Linked DNA regions of Rattus norvegicus. The protein of the gene in region 1 purifies or fractionates together with the protein of each later gene. This does not show direct contact. Links are inferred from orthologs where the notes say so. Each region holds a gene or a part of one and is shown in the gene's direction. Other genes may lie near its edges.

Region 1 (3,748 bases):
GGGTGATCCACTCAGGCCTGTCATTGTCAGAAGTAGCTATTCAAACATATTCCTTTATCTCCTAGCAACTATCTTTTGTAAACTTCGAAGTCTGAGCTTCCATTAGTTTGTGATACAATGATGCTTGAGGTCAACCTGATTACTAAGAACTACAAACCAGCTGATGACTTGAAATAATAAATTTGTTAAGGGGGTAATTACATGTACCCACTTTGTGCACTTTTAGCCTCTTTTCAGTATTAACGACCAATAAGCCATTTAGATTTTAATCTAATTACCCTGTTGCCTAGCCTCTAACTGAAGGGCAATCTTAAGGCAAGAGATGCAACGTTTAGGAATTATGTAGCTGACAGCTCATAGGTGTAGATATTATTATAGGTGAAAATATAGAGGGCAGCCTCCGTTACTACAAGATGTTTAAGGTTCCTGTGATTTTCAGTAGTCCTCCTTGATATTTGACCTATTCTCCAGATTGGCTTAAGGCTTTTTAAAAGGGAATTTCAGTGTTGCGGAAACTCGAAGCTATAAACACCAAGTATATTTTTAGGTTCCGATGGGTCCTTGAACTTGGGTGTTCGTGAGACCAGTCAGGCTAACATCAGCTTCGCCCTCTGCGGAGAGTCTCGTCTCCTCTCACAGATGTTCCAATCCCTTGGCTGGAGTAAGGGTAGTCGTTAAGATTCGTCCCGGTCCTGCCGTGACCTTTAACTGGAGGTAAGCAACAAGCGCCATAACTGGCGCCACAGGGAGTGCCTCCAGCAACAGCACAGCGCAGCCCACGCCTCCTCTCCTTTCTTTAACCCCGCTTCTGCGTCCCACCTCTGCCGGAAGTGGAATGACTTCTCTCCGTCACTTCCGGTGACAGCCAGGGTTCTGGCGGGAGCGAGCACGCAGCACCGCCCTCGACGGTGCCACCACTCTCCGTCTGCGTTCCCGAACGTGACGAGCGTGCGCGCCGCCGGCATAGCGTTTGGTTTAGGGGAAAGGCTTGAGGAACGCGGCGAGTGGGTGGTGCGCGGTGAGGGCTCCGCCAGCCAGTCGCGTCGCCCTCCCGCAGGGAGAACGCGGAGTGAAGGGAGGGGCGAGCGGCGCGCGCGGAGCCCGCGTGGAGGGGCGGAGGACAGCGAGCCGCGCCCCCGCTCCGGAAGCTGCGCGCAGTGCCCTCGGGGCGCAAGGCCCAGGCCTGTCCGAGTGCCGCGGGGTGTCGCCGCCGCCACAAGACGACGTGGACGCGCAGTGGCCGGCGACGGAGGCGTGCTGTGGTCGCGCCCACTGCCCTCCCGCGAGCTCGCCCCCGACGTCAGGACGATGGAGTGAAGCGCGGCCCGCGGTGGCACTTCCGCGTTGCGCCGCCGGAGCCCGAGGCCGCCGCCGCCGCCGCCGGGTGCGGCCGGCTTTCTGCCGAGGACAGGATCCTCCCGCACCAGGCCCTGAGGCCTCTGCGCACACACGGCGACTAGAAACGGGGACGCGCGTCCCGACCCGGATTATCGTGGCGCGACTCCCGGCCGGCCCTGCTGCTCGCTACCCCTCCGCCGCGGCTGCCGTCCCCCTTCCCGGCGGGGGACATGGCCAGGGTCTGACCCCGGAGGAGGCCGCACCCGCGCCGCACTCTGCGGCGGGCTCTAGGCGATGCCGAGCAGCTCGGACACGGCGCTGGGGGGAGGCGGGGGCCTGAGCTGGGCCGAGAAGAAGTTGGAGGAGCGCCGCAAGCGGAGGCGATTCCTGTCCCCTCAGCAGCCGCCGCTGCTGTTGCCGCTCCTGCAGCCGCAGCTCCTGCAACCGCCGCCGCCCCCGCCGCCTCTGCTCTTCCTGGCTGCCCCCGGCGCGGCCGCCGCCGCAGCCGCCGCCGCCGCGGCCTCCTCCTCCTGCTTCAGCCCGGGCCCTCCTTTGGAGGTCAAGCGGCTGGCGAGAGGCAAGAGGCGCCCCGGAGGGCGGCAGAAGCGGCGCCGCGGGCCCCGCGCCGGGCAGGAGGCGGAGAAGCGCCGGGTCTTCTCGCTGCCCCAGCCGCAGCAGGACGGCGGTGGCGGTGCCAGTAGCGGCGGGGGTGTGACCCCGCTGGTGGAGTATGAGGATGTAAGCTCCCAGTCCGAGCAGGGGCTGCTGCTGGGGGGCGCCAGCGCGGCAACGGCGGCGACGGCTGCCGGGGGAACGGGGGGCAACGGCGGGAGTCCGGCCTCCTCCTCCGGCACGCAGAGGCGCGCGGAGGGGTCGGAGCGCAGGCCGCGCCGGGACCGCCGCAGCAGCAGCGGTCGCAGTAAGGAGCGCCATCGCGAGCACCGGCGGCGGGACGGGACGCGCAGTGGCAGCGAGGCCTCAAAGGCCCGCAGCCGCCACGGACACAGCGGCGAGGAGCGGGCCGAGGCCGCCAAGAGCGGCAGTAGCAGCAGCAGCGGCGGCCGCCGCAAAAGTGCATCGGCTACGTCCAGCAGTAGTAGCAGCCGCAAGGATCGGGACCTCAAGGCCCATCGCAGCCGGACTAAGTCGTCCAAGGAGCCGCCCTCGGCCTACAAGGAGCCGCCCAAGGCCTACCGGGAGGACAAGAGCGAACCGAAGGCCTACAGGCGGCGGCAGCGGTCCCTGAGCCCGCTGGGAGGCCGGGACGAAAGCCCGGTGTCCCACAGGGCCTCGCAGAGCCTCCGGAGCCGCAAGTCCCCCAGCCCGGCGGGAGGTGGCAGCAGTCCCTATTCCCGGCGGTTGCCGCGCTCCCCGAGCCCCTACAGCCGGCGCCGCTCGCCCAGCTACAGCCGCCACAGCTCCTACGAGCGGGGCGGCGACGTATCCCCCAGCCCGTACAGCAGCAGCAGCTGGCGGCGCTCGCGCAGTCCCTACAGTCCAGTACTCAGGTGAGTCCAGCTCCCCTACCCATAGGAGGCAGGGAAAGTGGAGTGAGGCGCCTCTGGTCTGCTCGGTCCATTTCCCAGACCAGAGCTCAGGGCCAGAGGAAGGGTTTCTAGCGGGGAGGGGAGTGCTGTGCGCACCTGTGGGGGTGGGAGGGACCAAGCGACTAGCTGGAGCAGGAGGGTTTTTAACTTGTTGCTTTTAAATATTAGCAGGTTTGTGCAAAATACTCTGCTCTTCCAGCATTGCTAGTTTGGCTTAATTTGGCTTAGTACCTGTTTATGGAGAAAAGGTTCCTTTGTTGGTGCTTTATTAATGGACTGCAATACAGGGACTTAAATTTTAAAGAGCAATCCATCAGGTGATGTCAGAGTTAGATGAGGATTGCAGTTGTTTCATTAATACGGGGATAGGAAAATCAGCTTTTGTGAAGTTTATTTTAATATTGGAAATACATTTTAAGTAGTGTTGATAGAAATAGAGTTTGAAGAAAAGATATACAAGAGAGATTCTTGGGTAGGTTTTTTTTATCTGATCTTTCAAAATCATGGTTTTAAAAAGGAGGGGAAAAATGACAGTTACGTTCAGTACCCAGTTGCCAATATGTAAGTGGATATAATGGTGCAGTGTAATCAAGCGAATGTTTAGTGCATTCTCAGACCACTATAAATCTGAAAAATGCTCACTGTAAAGTTAGGTCTTTTAAGGAATAGTAATCCTAATGAACGTGTTCAGAAATTTTTGCAGGGATAATATAATTTGAAATTGGAGTAAGCCATTGTTATACAATAATAGTCTCAAAAAATGTGTATATTGATACATATCTATTATGTAGAGTGAATTAAAAGTGACTTTTGAGTACTTTATTGAGTACTTTTTTTCTAGGTCTTGTAGCTTCTTACATTAC
Region 2 (3,696 bases), on another chromosome or scaffold:
TCTGATGCCCTCTTCTGGTGTGTCTGAAGGCAGCTACAGTGTACTTATATAAATAAATAAATCTTTAAAAAAAAATTAAGGGCAGGTCTGGTGTAGTGGTGCACACCTTTAACCCCAGCATTGGGAAGCAGAAGTAGAAAGATCTGTTCATTTGAAGACAGCCTGGTCTACATAGTGAATTCCAGGACAGCCGGAGCTATACAGTGAGACCCTGTCTGGGGAAAAAAACTATTTAAGGGCAAACATCATTAAAAAAAACTATGCGTATTAATATTTTGCCTGCAAGTATATCTGTGTACCACATGCATGCTCGGTGTGGGTGAAGGCCAGAAGGGGGCGCAATATACCCTGAGATGGACTTACCAGATAGGTACGAGCCGCCATGTAGGTGAGGGAGGACCAGCCAGTTCTCCAAACCATTGAGCCATTTCTCCAGGCTCAATTTTGACTTATTTTTTTTTTAGAATGTTTGTTTGTGTAACAACCCTTACGGTCCTAGAAATCACTCTGTAGACCAGGCTGGCCTGGATCCGCCAGATTGCGTCCCCACTGCCCAGCCAATTTTGACTTTTTGACAGTCTCAATATGTACCCTGGCTGGACTAGAACTTGTAGAGAGCCACCTGTTTTCGCCCCTAGCATACTTGGATTACCGTGGGCCACCACGCCCAACAAGACTAACCTTTTGTCTCTAAAGGATGTTCAGTCTGGTTTCGGCGGGAACTTCCAGAAGGCCGCACCACGTACTCCTGGCCCTTTAAAGATGACCTCCGGTTGCCAATGCCGCCGACTCCCGTTGCTAAGGACGAACGTCATGCGCCGACGCTGGGGCGGGGCCGTCGTGCGCGGCGCCCTGGGCGGAAGCGGAAGGGGCGGGGCGGGGCGAGCGGACTCTCTAGCCCTTGTGGGTCCCTGTTCAGCGCCCGGCCGTGTGGAGACCCGGGAGCCAGTCCGGGCCTCCGAGGCGAAGATGGTGGACTACAGCGTTTGGGATCACATCGAGGTGTCGGACGATGAGGACGAGACGCACCCCAACATAGACACGGCCAGCCTGTTCCGCTGGCGGCACCAGGTGGGGCTGTGCGCGCTCATCCCCTTCCCCCCACTCCCGGGACCCCCCGCTCTAGAGTTCTGACCTCTTAGCCAGGCCGCCTGGCGTGGGGGGCGGGGGAGACCTCAGTTCTTGACATCCAGAGCCTCCTGTTCCACAATCTAGACTTTCCCCCTTTCTTTTCTTTCTTCTTTTTTTAAAAACAAAATCTCACTGGGTAGTCTTGCCTGGCCTGGAACTTGCTATATAGAAGAGGCTGGTTTCTAACTCACGGAGATCCTCTTGCCTCTGCCTTCCCAGTGCTGAGGTTAAAGACATGTGCCATCATGCTGGGCTGGACCTTTTAATCCCAGGACTCCTGGATTCTTCATTCTAATTCTTCATCTGTATCTCCGGGCTTTCTCTCTGTGCTGTGGATCTCTTCTGTTTGTACGTTTACTTATTGTGTGTGTGTTCTTGTGTGCACGTGGCACAGCATGCAAAGGAAGATTACAGGATAACTTGCAGAAGTTGGGCCTCTCTTTTCACTTCGTTGGAACTGGGTGTGGAACTCAGGTCACCCCGAGTTGCCACAAGCACCTGTACACTGAGTCATTTTATCAGCTCTTAATACTCTTTAGTCAGAGTCTAGACCCCACCCCACCTCCGAAGCTGACCCATGTGTGTAGGGTCCCCATCATCCTTTGTGGAACCTTTTGTTCTCAGAATTCTTCCTCAGAGTCTGGACCCAGGTTTTGTTAGGTGATCTCATATCCCAGCCATGCACCCACTTCTGATTGCACATCTCCGTTCTGCCTCTCCCCACCCCCTAGAGTCTGGATCCATAAAACTTCGTTCTGATTGTGGCATCTACTTCCCAGGATCTTAGGCACGAATTTCCATTAAGGCCCAGAGACAACCCCCCGAACCCCCAACCCCCTAACTTCCAAACTAAATGAGGGCTGTGCCCTGCTCTTAATTTAATGGTCAATCTTAGTTTGCAGCTGGGATTCCCAGTCCAGGATCGATTTCCCTGGGTTATAGACCAGAGCTACACTTGGGACTTCAGTGTTAGAGCCCCCTTAGCCTCTCTATTTGACCCCCAGCTCCACTCTTGCCCATCATCCAATTCTAGTGGCTTTCCTTATTTTCACCTCCTGTAGATTCTTATTTCCCCTTACTCCAGGAAACCCCACCCACTTAACTTCCGGTCAGAACCTCTGCTCCTAGTAGTATAGTAAGTAGACCCCCATTCTGCCCACATTGGCTCCTGTATGATTTGTAGCCATCATTGAATACTCACCAAACCGGATGGTGATGACACATACTTTTAATCCCAGCTCTCAGGAAGCAGAGGCAGGCGGGCCTGTGAATTCAAGGCCAGCCTGGTCTACAGAGAGTTCCAGCACAGCTAAATAGGGGTACTCTGTTTGGAGGCATGGAGTCCAGTGGCAGGATAGGACAGAGAAAGAAAGTGGGGGAGGGGAGAAAAGGGGGAAAGGAGAAGGAAAAGACAGCTCACCCAATCCCAACCCAGAAAACCAAACCCTTCCTGTCCTACCTGCCCTTCCTCTCCAGTTTCATTGGCCTCTCGAGGGTTCATATCATTCTATTTAACTCTGCACCTCCTGGATCTTGTTCCAACATTACCTTACTTTCTGAGCATTGTAGCACACCTGTAAACTCAGGTCTTAGGAGGTGGAGGTAGAAGGATCTGGAATTCAGAGTTAATCCTTGCTATAGGGCAAATTCTAGGCTATCCTGGACTACGTGAGACCCTGTCTCAAAAACCAAATGGGCTGGAATTCAGTTGTAAGCATTGCCTTGGGCTCCATCTGGCTTAAAAGCTAGCCATGGTGGGGCAGGCCCGTAGTCTCAGCACTGAGAAGATAGAAGCAGGAGGCTCAGAAGTTCAAAGTCATCAGCCACATAGTAAGTATGAGGCTGGCACGGGCTCAGGGAATCCTGTCGATCACTAGGCAGATAAAATAAAGTCCTACACAGTTTTAAATCTGCCCATAACAGATGCCTTAGACTGAGACCGTCAGATCCCCAAGTGTGAGCAAGCCATGCTCTTCCGCCTCTCTTGTGCCAGCATTGCCTGCAGGCCCATAGTGTACTACCTAGATGTAAGGGTGGTCTGAAGATGTAGTTGAGTGGTAGAGCACTCTCTAGCATGCAGGAGGTCCTGGGTTCCATCTCTAGCACAGCAGTAAAGAGACAGTGGCCTAACCTGCCCCCCAAATTAAAGCATCTGTACCCACATACCTGTGTGTCTTTACTCTGTCTAGGTTACATTGTATTTGTGTATGTTCATGCTCATGTATGTGTAAATGTGCCACGCTACCCTGTCACAGTCAGAGGATAACTTGCTGGAATCCGTTCTCTCCACCCACGTGGGCTCGGGATCAAACTCAGGCCGTCAGGGTTGGTAGCAGGCCTTCACCCACTGAGCTCTCTCATCAGCCCTGTGCTTGTTACACTCCCAGGCTGCTGGCAGGTACTCTGCAGTTAGCATTCCACCTTCCTGAGGAAAGCTTCTCCTCTTTACTCCTCGAAAGTCCTTCCCTATCCTCCCCAAATCCAGCAGTCAGCTCTAGTCCCACCTACACACCTATTCCTTCCAGTTTCCTGGGAAGACCGCCTGGCAGGCAGCAGTGCAGACCA

What was found.
Region 2: the proteins of Cdk13 (region 1) and Cdc37 purify together in Homo sapiens (affinity purification with mass spectrometry; 3 studies listed by BioGRID and IntAct, with this or other methods). This does not show direct contact. The link is inferred for Rattus norvegicus from reciprocal best matches to the Homo sapiens genes CDK13 and CDC37.

What each region holds. Positions count from the first base shown.
Region 1 is NC_086035.1:51,945,275-51,949,022, forward strand, and holds the start of Cdk13 (cyclin-dependent kinase 13), read left to right. Parts: upstream 1-1,426; 5' UTR 1,427-1,632; coding exon 1,633-2,846; intron 2,847-3,748. UniProt on the Homo sapiens protein: Cyclin-dependent kinase which displays CTD kinase activity and is required for RNA splicing.
Region 2 is NC_086026.1:27,964,094-27,967,789, reverse strand, and holds the start of Cdc37 (hsp90 co-chaperone Cdc37), read left to right. Parts: upstream 1-859; 5' UTR 860-969; coding exon 970-1,071; intron 1,072-3,696. UniProt on the Homo sapiens protein: Co-chaperone that binds to numerous kinases and promotes their interaction with the Hsp90 complex, resulting in stabilization and promotion of their activity. Inhibits HSP90AA1 ATPase activity.